Linked DNA regions of Canis lupus familiaris. The protein of the gene in region 2 purifies or fractionates together with the protein of the main gene of each other region. This does not show direct contact. Links are inferred from orthologs where the notes say so. Each region holds a gene or a part of one and is shown on either strand. Other genes may lie near its edges. The genes, in order: AURKA and PPP6R2.

The links.
Region 1: the proteins of PPP6R2 (region 2) and AURKA purify together in Homo sapiens (affinity purification with mass spectrometry; 4 studies listed by BioGRID and IntAct, counting the BioPlex papers as one, with this or other methods). This does not show direct contact. The link is inferred for Canis lupus familiaris from reciprocal best matches to the Homo sapiens genes PPP6R2 and AURKA.

The regions. Positions count from the first base shown.
Region 1 is NC_049245.1:42,346,487-42,351,083, forward strand, and holds the start of AURKA (aurora kinase A), read right to left. Parts: upstream 2,919-4,597; 5' UTR 2,872-2,918; coding exon 2,847-2,871; intron 1,860-2,846; coding exon 1,813-1,859; intron 1-1,812. UniProt on the Homo sapiens protein: Mitotic serine/threonine kinase that contributes to the regulation of cell cycle progression.
Region 2 is NC_049231.1:17,765,550-17,769,352, forward strand, and holds part of PPP6R2 (serine/threonine-protein phosphatase 6 regulatory subunit 2), read right to left. Parts: intron 3,292-3,803; exon of another isoform or gene 2,830-3,291; coding exon 2,717-2,829; exon of another isoform or gene 2,713-2,716; intron 2,336-2,712; coding exon 2,222-2,335; intron 919-2,221; coding exon 792-918; intron 1-791. UniProt on the Homo sapiens protein: Regulatory subunit of protein phosphatase 6 (PP6). May function as a scaffolding PP6 subunit. Involved in the PP6-mediated dephosphorylation of NFKBIE opposing its degradation in response to TNF-alpha.

The DNA.
Region 1 (4,597 bases), on a different chromosome or scaffold from region 2:
AGGGAAGCCTCAGAGTTCATCACAAGCTCACTAGGTATGGGTGCTTCACAAGAGACAGGTATCCAACTTCCAAGTAAAAGTCAGTTACTTCTGAAATTAGTGACATCCACAGGCAGCGACAAATGTTTTAAACAGAGCAGCTTTTAAAAATGATCTTTATCATAGGAATTGAGAATCAGATACAATGACTCAAGTTAGCCTTTTTCTAATTGGTTATTGACTTTTAGCCAGTAAAAAAAAAAAAAAAAAGTTAAGGTATCCATTTACTTGAAAAACTTCTCACACCTATCAGAATGGCTAACACCAAAAACACAAGGAACAAGTTGTTGATGAAGACTTGGGGGAAAAGGAACCCTTGCACACTACTGGTGGGAATACAAACCAGTGCAGGTGAAGCAGTATGGAGGCTCCTGAAAAAGTCAAAAATAGGGGAGCCTGGGTGGCTCCATAGGTTGGACATCTGACTCATGGTTTTGGCTGGGGTCGTGATCTCAGGAGGTCGTGAGATAGAGCCCAAGGTCAGGCTCAGCACCGAGTTTAGAACCTCCTTAACATTCTCTCCCTCTCCCTCTGCCACAGCCGCCGCCCCTCCACACACACACCCCACTCATGCATGCTCTCTCAAACAAACAAACAAACAAAAAAAAAAAAAAAGAAAAGGAAAACTTTTAGGGACGCCTGGGTGGCTTAGTGGCTGAGCATCTGCCTTTGGCTCAGGTCATGATCCTGGGGTCCTGGGGTCCTGGGATCAAGTCCCACATCAGGTTCCCTGCAAGGAGCCTGAGCCTGCTTCTCCCTCTGCCTGTGTCTCTGCTTTTCTCTGTGTCTCTCATGAATAAATAAATAAAACCTTAAAAAAAAAAAAAAAAAGTAAAGGAAAACTTCTAAAAACAACACATACATACAAAACAAGAAACAAGATTTGTATGTTTATGCTCTTTTCCTAGAAGGAAAAAAAAATCTGGGGAATATTTATATTAAAGGATCTTTATATAAAGACTCATTTAAATTCTAAGAGCCAGAGGTACTTCCTTGATGAAGCCTTTCTAGATTCCAACCTATCCCAATCTGAACATCCCTCTGCAGAATTACTCAGGTCATTTCATATACACATATTTTATGAAAGTGTGATACCAGCTCACATAACCCACCAAAGAGCTAATAAGCTCTTGGAAGTCAAAGACCATGTGCTTTTTTATCATTATAACCCCTGCATCTGACACAACCTGGCTCAAAGTGGGTTCCCAAGAAATGTTCACTAAAATGCAGCTTGACAGTCCTCTGAATCATGACCAGAACAGACTATTACAAAGCAATTTAACTTCTGGCAAGCAAGTAAGCACAAGCAAGTATTAGGCACCCATTGTGTACATTATCCCGCACACAATGGAGGAATATAGATACTTAAACAGCTAGCTAGAAGACAAAGCAGAACAAAATAATAGTTACAGTGACAATCAACAAAATGTCACTGAATGCAGAGAAAAAGTGACAGACATCCAGGAATGTAGTAGAGTTCTGAAGTTAAAATCCAAAGTAAAGGTAAAACGAAGTCCAGATATAAAAACCAATCTCCACTGGGTTTTATAAATGTGATCAAGATTACAGATTGGGACGCCTAGATGACTCAGCAGTTGTGCATCTGCCCTTGGCTCAGGGCATGATCCTGGAGTTCCAGGATCAAGTCCCACACCAGGCTCCCTGCATGGAGCCTGCTTCTCCCTCCACCTTTGTCTCTGCCTCTCTGCCTGTGTTTCTCATGAATAAAATCTTAAAAAAAAAAAAAAAAAAATTTAAGATTATTCAACTTACCTTAACAGGCCCTGCAATGCAGTTTTCTTTAGATTTGTCCATAATGCCTGAAAAGAAAAGAGCCACCTTTAATTTATACAAATCCCTGTGCTTCAAAGTGCTACTATGCTAGATCAGGGTTATAGCTCCTGATGAAAAAGCCTCAACAACACAGAATTTCACACTTTTTCTTTGTCCAAATGAAGCTGGCAAGGGAGCCTTGCTTTCTCGGGTAACCTAAGGGACAGGTGTGGGGCCTCCCTCACCCCCCAACTTCACTCCCTGAGACCACCTGCTCCACCACCCCCTCTCTAGGGGATTAATTCCAACAGTGCAGGAGCCTGCTTCCAGCCCTGCTCCCTTTTAAAAAAAAAAGCAGCTTCTCTCTTCCCCATAACATACTCTAGATAGAACAGCATCTTTCCTCTCACTCTTCAACAGCAAAGCTCCAGAACAGTCATTACACTCCCTGCATCCACCATTTCTCTGGCTCTTCGCCCTCCCCCATCAGGATTTTGTCCCTACGGAGGAGTCAGCTCACGACTGACCTCTAATGTTAGCAAATTCAAAGGTCCAATCAGCACCCTGGGCTCCCTGGTGTCCCCAGCAGCATTTGACAGCGTCACTCTTTTTTCTACTCCCAGCCTCTGCTGGCTTGGAGGGTGGTCCCTGACCTTACCAGCTGTCCTGCTGTGACCTCCTTTGCTCCATCAGTCTGACTTTTGCCAACCTGAGAGTCTAGGGTAACCCATGAATGAGTCCTTGGACCCCACTTTCCATCCATTCCCTTCCTAGGGTCCCCCATCCAGAACCAGGGCTCTAAACATCTTTAAGATGACTTGAATTTACATCTTCTACCCTAACCTGTCCTGACTACCAGACTATTACCTACCTCCTGTTCATTATCCCCCACATCCAGACAGCTCTTTTCTCCTCCCGGCTTCTCTTCCCCTCTGCTCTCAGGAGCAGCCTGAGCTCAGGCCTAGAAACACTTCTACTGCTATACTCATTCCCTATTAAACTCATCCAGTCTCCTGGCTCTCAATAGCACTCACAAGCTGAGGACCTCCAAACTTCCATCTTCAGCCCAGACTTCTCCCCTGAACTCCTATCACCTATGAAACATCACCACCTGTAACCAGAGAGGCATCTCAAGTTTAAAATGTCTCAAATGAAATTCCTGCTCCCTCCCTACTCTATCTCCCCAACCCCGTTTTCACAGATGTCCCCATCTCAGTTACTGGCAAACCCATCTTGCCAGTTGCTTGGGTTAACTGATCTTTTACATGATTCTCCCTCAAACCCCATACCTAATCCATCAGCATATTTTGTAGGCTCTACCTTCAAAATCACTGCTCAAGACATTTAATACCACCACCTGATTAAATCAATGCTCTCTCCCCTCATTTCTTTGCCACAGGCTCCCGATGGTCACTCTGCTTCCACCCTTACCCCATGATGGTCCATTTGCAACACTGCACCCAGTGATCCCATTAACAAGTCAGCTAGGCCGGCCCTTAGTTCACAAGCCAAGCCCCTCCTGGTCCCTCAACTCCAATTCAAATTCAACTTGCACAGACAGACCTACAGTCTCTGACCACCTATTGGACTGATCTCCTCTTGCGTTCTGCACACCAGCCATACAGGGCTTCTTTCTTTCCTCAAAGCAGTGCACTGCCTCAGGGCCTTTGTACTTCCTGTTCTCTCTACCCATTTGGCACTTCTCTCAAATACAAGTGTGGCTTGCTCCCCATGACATTCAGGTCTCTCCTCAGATGGCTCTCTAACCATCTCGTTTTTATTTTTCTGCATAGCCCTTACTTAACACCTTACATGACGTTACTTGTACTCGCTTACTTCTGCCTCCCAGCTCCCTAATCAGTATCTCCAAGGAAAGTAAGCTCCATGAGAGCAAGGGCTTAGACTCATTTTGTTTACTGTTGCCCCCTGCCAGAACTTGTCTGGCACATAGTATTTACACCAATGTTTGGGGGAATGAGTTAATCCGTTAAGAAAGCATATTAATAATGAAAATAGTTAACACTTGCTAAGCCCATACTGTGAGTCAGGCACAGTCTAGTAAATCAGAAGAACATAAACTCCAAGAAAGCAGAAACCTTTCTGTATTTTTCCTACCCAGGTGCTCTCCGAATTCTAGAATCCAATCAGAAAGTGCCTCCCATCCCCACGCTTTCACATCCACTTCACAAATAAGCAAAAAACTTCACCTTGAAGATGGAACCACAGCTAAAGAGAGAGGAGTCCTTATGTCCAACAGCAGGTTAGGAGAAACAGGAAGGAGAAAGGAGTTATAAGCTTGTGTTATGCAAACATTAATTTCACACACGCTCTAAGGCTTTCTTCACTTTCCCCAACAACCACAGGCAGCAGACCAATGAGATCACACAGGCCTAACATTTATTCAATCGTCTTCAACAGAAGCTAGATACTTGTTCCAATTGAATATACTTTTCCTTCTCAGAGAGATGAATAATAATAAACAGAATGAAATAAGATGATTCTGATCCAGAGATTCTGGAGAGAGCCCCAGGAAAACTGCCTTTCTAGTGATTCCAGTCCACAGCGAGATTCAGGAGTCCCATGACCCCATGACCCTCACAAGATCCCTGCGGCTCAAACCACATGTCCTACTACTCTGAACAGGAGATGTGCTAAGATTGTATAGCTCTGCACATTTAGACTTTTTCTCCATCAAAACTGCTTAGTGTCTGCACGGACTCAGAGGAGGGCAGCAATGAGTATGTTGCTGACAAGTATTTCATTCAGAGAACAAGGAGGATTAAGG
Region 2 (3,803 bases):
ACAAAACAGTAAGCAATGGTGGTCCACTGCCCCCAGAAGCCCAGAACTCTCTGGTATCAGCAAATCAAGCAAAGAGATATGCACCTCAGCTCATGAGATGTGTCCAAGGTGGGGCCAGCTCTCTGGGGGACACAGTCTCATCAGGACACTGAGCTAACCCTGCAAACGCGCTCAGAGGAGATGGCTAACAGCAGCCTTGTCACACTGAACACAGGTCTTTCCTGACCCCACGCATGCAGCATGACGTGTCTACCTTCTCATTAACCAAATGTTCCAGAATCCCTACATTCATGAAGCTCACTTTCTAGTGGGAGAGGCAGATGATAACTTGATAAATAAAATAAGCTGTGCAGGAGAGCATGGTGGGTGCTGAGACGCACCCAGGAAAGGGGAAGGGGCTCCATGGTGAGCGAGGTGGCAGGCGGCTAAGTGACTGAGCCCTTCTCTACCTGAGCCGCATGCTGCCTGGAGCTCCTGAGCTGGGCAAAGGCCAACTCTGTGCCCTACCTGACTCCAGGCCCCATGGCCCCTGACTTGAAGGCCAGACCCACAGTTAACGTAGGTTCTCAGATGACCCCTATTTCAGAGCACAAGAGTCATCTGGGAGGGGGGTGCAAAATGTCCACACCCTAGGACTTACCCCAGAGCAGAGATGGACACTGAGCAGATAAAGGTGTGAAAACATGCTCCTGGCACCTGCTTGGTGGTTCTCAAGCAGGGTGCAGGGTCCTCTGCTTGCAAATCATCCCACCCACAACACCCGCACAGGCACCTACCAGAAGTTCACCTACCTTTGGCGGGCTGAGCAGAAGCTGGTGGAAGTCCTTCAGTCGTGGCTCAATGCCATGCAGTACGCTGCTGCTGACGGTACACAGCCCTTCCAGTCCCTGAGAAAAGGAGTCCACCAAGCCCTCTGTCCTGTGGACGAGGACAGCAGATGGAGACACAGGGGACACACCCCCATCCTGTTTCACCCTCCCCCCCGACTTCTCTGCTCATGGTACAGAGAAGAAAAAGGCAACACTGGCCTTTAGAAAACATTCCCAGGTGACGGCCAAGGGCAGCCCCCTCATCCCCACCAGGCAGGCGGCCCCTCGTGCTCACTGGAACCATCTCTGTCCCCCTCTCCCCGTTCTGGAAACATTCACCATGGTTCCCACTCCTTGGCTGAGAAACAGGAGACAGGACGCCACACTGTCCCTCTGGCTTCTTAAAACTAATTTCTCTGAGACATTCATATAAACTTTTTTCAGTTATAGAAAAGAGAATCAGCTGGCTCACCCGTGGTTTTGGTGGGTTTTTAAAAAAATATATTTATTTTCGAGAGAACCATAAGTGGGGGGAGGCACACCAGGGCAGGATGGGGAATCCGAACAGACTCCCCACTGGGTGTCCGCACCCCCAAAATGGACTCAACCCCAGGACCCCAGGTCATGACCTGAGCCGAAACCAAGAGGTGCTTAGCTGACAGAGCGCCCCAGGCATCCCAATCTCTGCTTTTATGGGTCATTTTCACGCTGTCCGTTCATCTCAGCCAAGGCTGGGAAAGGCCCGCAGAGGAGCCCCCACATCCCCTAGAACAGGCCCAGGCTTCCTGAGTTCACGAAGACAAGAACGGTCAACATTCTGGTGGCCTGACCAGAGTAAACAATGACAGCAGTATCATTCTAGTTTTAGGGAATAAACTAACGGCTGCGTACTGGTTCCCAGAGAGCGCGAGAATGAGAAACTGCTTCTAATCTCACTACCAACATTAACTCAACGTCTTGTCATTTTGTTCTTTTGTTGTTGCTGCGGTTTACATCCAGTTAATCCGCGCTGGGGCTTCAGTGAGGCTCCCTCCAGAACAAGGAAATAAGAGAACTAGTCACCCCAGGAGACAGGTCACCACAGCACACGACGGGACGAGCAGAGATGCACGCGCACACACGTGCACACCCGGCACCCCACACCCCTCCCCACATGCTGGAACTGGCCACACCTGTTCCACACACACACACACACACACACACACACACACACACACACACACACATACACACACACGCAGGAATACTTGGGAAGCTGCTGACACTGGTGCCTTCAGACCGAGGCGGGAACACCTTGGATACCCAAGGTCAGAGAGGCTGCGGATTTACTTTTCAATGAGGAGTCTACCCGTGTGATTATTTACATAACAAGTAGTGAAACATGCCACGCAGCCAGGCCCCCCATCACTCACCCAGCCCGTCTGGTCTCCAACAAGGTAAGTAACACCTGAGTCCCACTAACGAGGCAGATCTCAGTCTGGTCTCCATCAAACATGTTCTTCAGAAGCTGCTCCACGCAGTCCTGCCTGTCAGACACACGCAGAGCTCACTGCTGCTGGAGCAGATGCACAGCCCCACATCCAAAGGACCAGCTCTCCTCCCCAAGGAGTAACCCCCCTAAACCCAGAGGGGGCTTTGCTCGGGCTCCAGACCAGGCACCCAGGGTTCTCAGGACATTCCTGCCCCTACTGGCCTAGAGTCACTGGACCTGCCTGGAGAGCCCTCCCAGGAGACACAAGTCTATCCAGTGAGCCAGACGGGCTATGTCACAGCCAGCTCATCAGAATCTGAATCAGAGGCAGCAGCAGCATCTGCTGGTGCTCCAGGCAGGGCCTGGGGACTGCCTAGTGACTCAGAAAGACCCCGCACCCACCCAGCCAGGCACCCATAATGCAGCCAGCACTCACGACTCCAGCACTGCGAGGAGGGGGTCGGGCTCTGGAGCCTCCTGCAGCTGACTGCCCTGCTCTCTGCCCAGCCTGATGATGTCACAGAGGGTTTGAGAGGCATTGGACTGTCTCTGGAAGGAAAAGGAGATGCAGTACTCTCCTCAGCGCTGAGAAAGGTCAGCAGAGCTGCCCCGCTCGCTGCTCAGTTCTCAGGACGCTGGACTCTGAACCGGTCCGTCTCAGAAATGCCTGGTGGGCCTTTCTGATGTCAGAATGCAAATCTAATCAGACCTTTTGCTGTACTGACCGATCCCCAAGAGACCAAATGGGGCTCTCTTAAGGGTTAAATACACTACACAGACATTGCTCCACCCCTGGAACCACTGTAAGATACACTGTATATATGACCTCGTTACTGATACTGTATTTCAAATTCATACTTTAAATATTAAAACCTAGCTGGTAACATTCAGGAGAAGTCCTACAAGCTAATGGAAAAAGGCAGGTGCCACAGAGAAAACAGGAGGCCTCGACTCTTCTGGGCAACACTAATCCTTAGCCGGTGAAGACTGGATGGTGCCCTTGCAACACTGGTGAGTTTAGCAATGCAGATAACTGACTAGAGAGAAACTCGGCCCTGGCTCCTCGCCGGGAGCCTCAGAACACACGGCACTGATGTGCGTCGTGGGGGCTCTAGGCTAAAGGAAGTACATGCAGGACTATTTTAGGGAGAAATGAAAAGCAGCCAGGTGGTCCCTGTGGTCTCACCCCTGCCTCTAGCCTGGGAGCAGGCCAGTCAGCCCCCAGCACTCACACAGCTGGAGGGGCACCCCCTGGTCTGGAGCATAGGCCCCCTCGCCCAGCTGTCCAACAGGCACACAGGAACAGAAAACAGTGTGGCCGGGACACAGAGAGGGCTCACACATGAGTTGGCATCACTGTTCTCAAACTGCTGAGGGCAGGAACGTATGTTGGCTTTTATCAGGCACAGAAAGGCCTATCAGGATATACTCCAAACTCTCAACAGTGATTCCTGCAGGGAGTGGGCAGGGGGCCAAGACAGGAAGCCCCACTGCCATCCCACATGCTTCCACACTGGCAATGG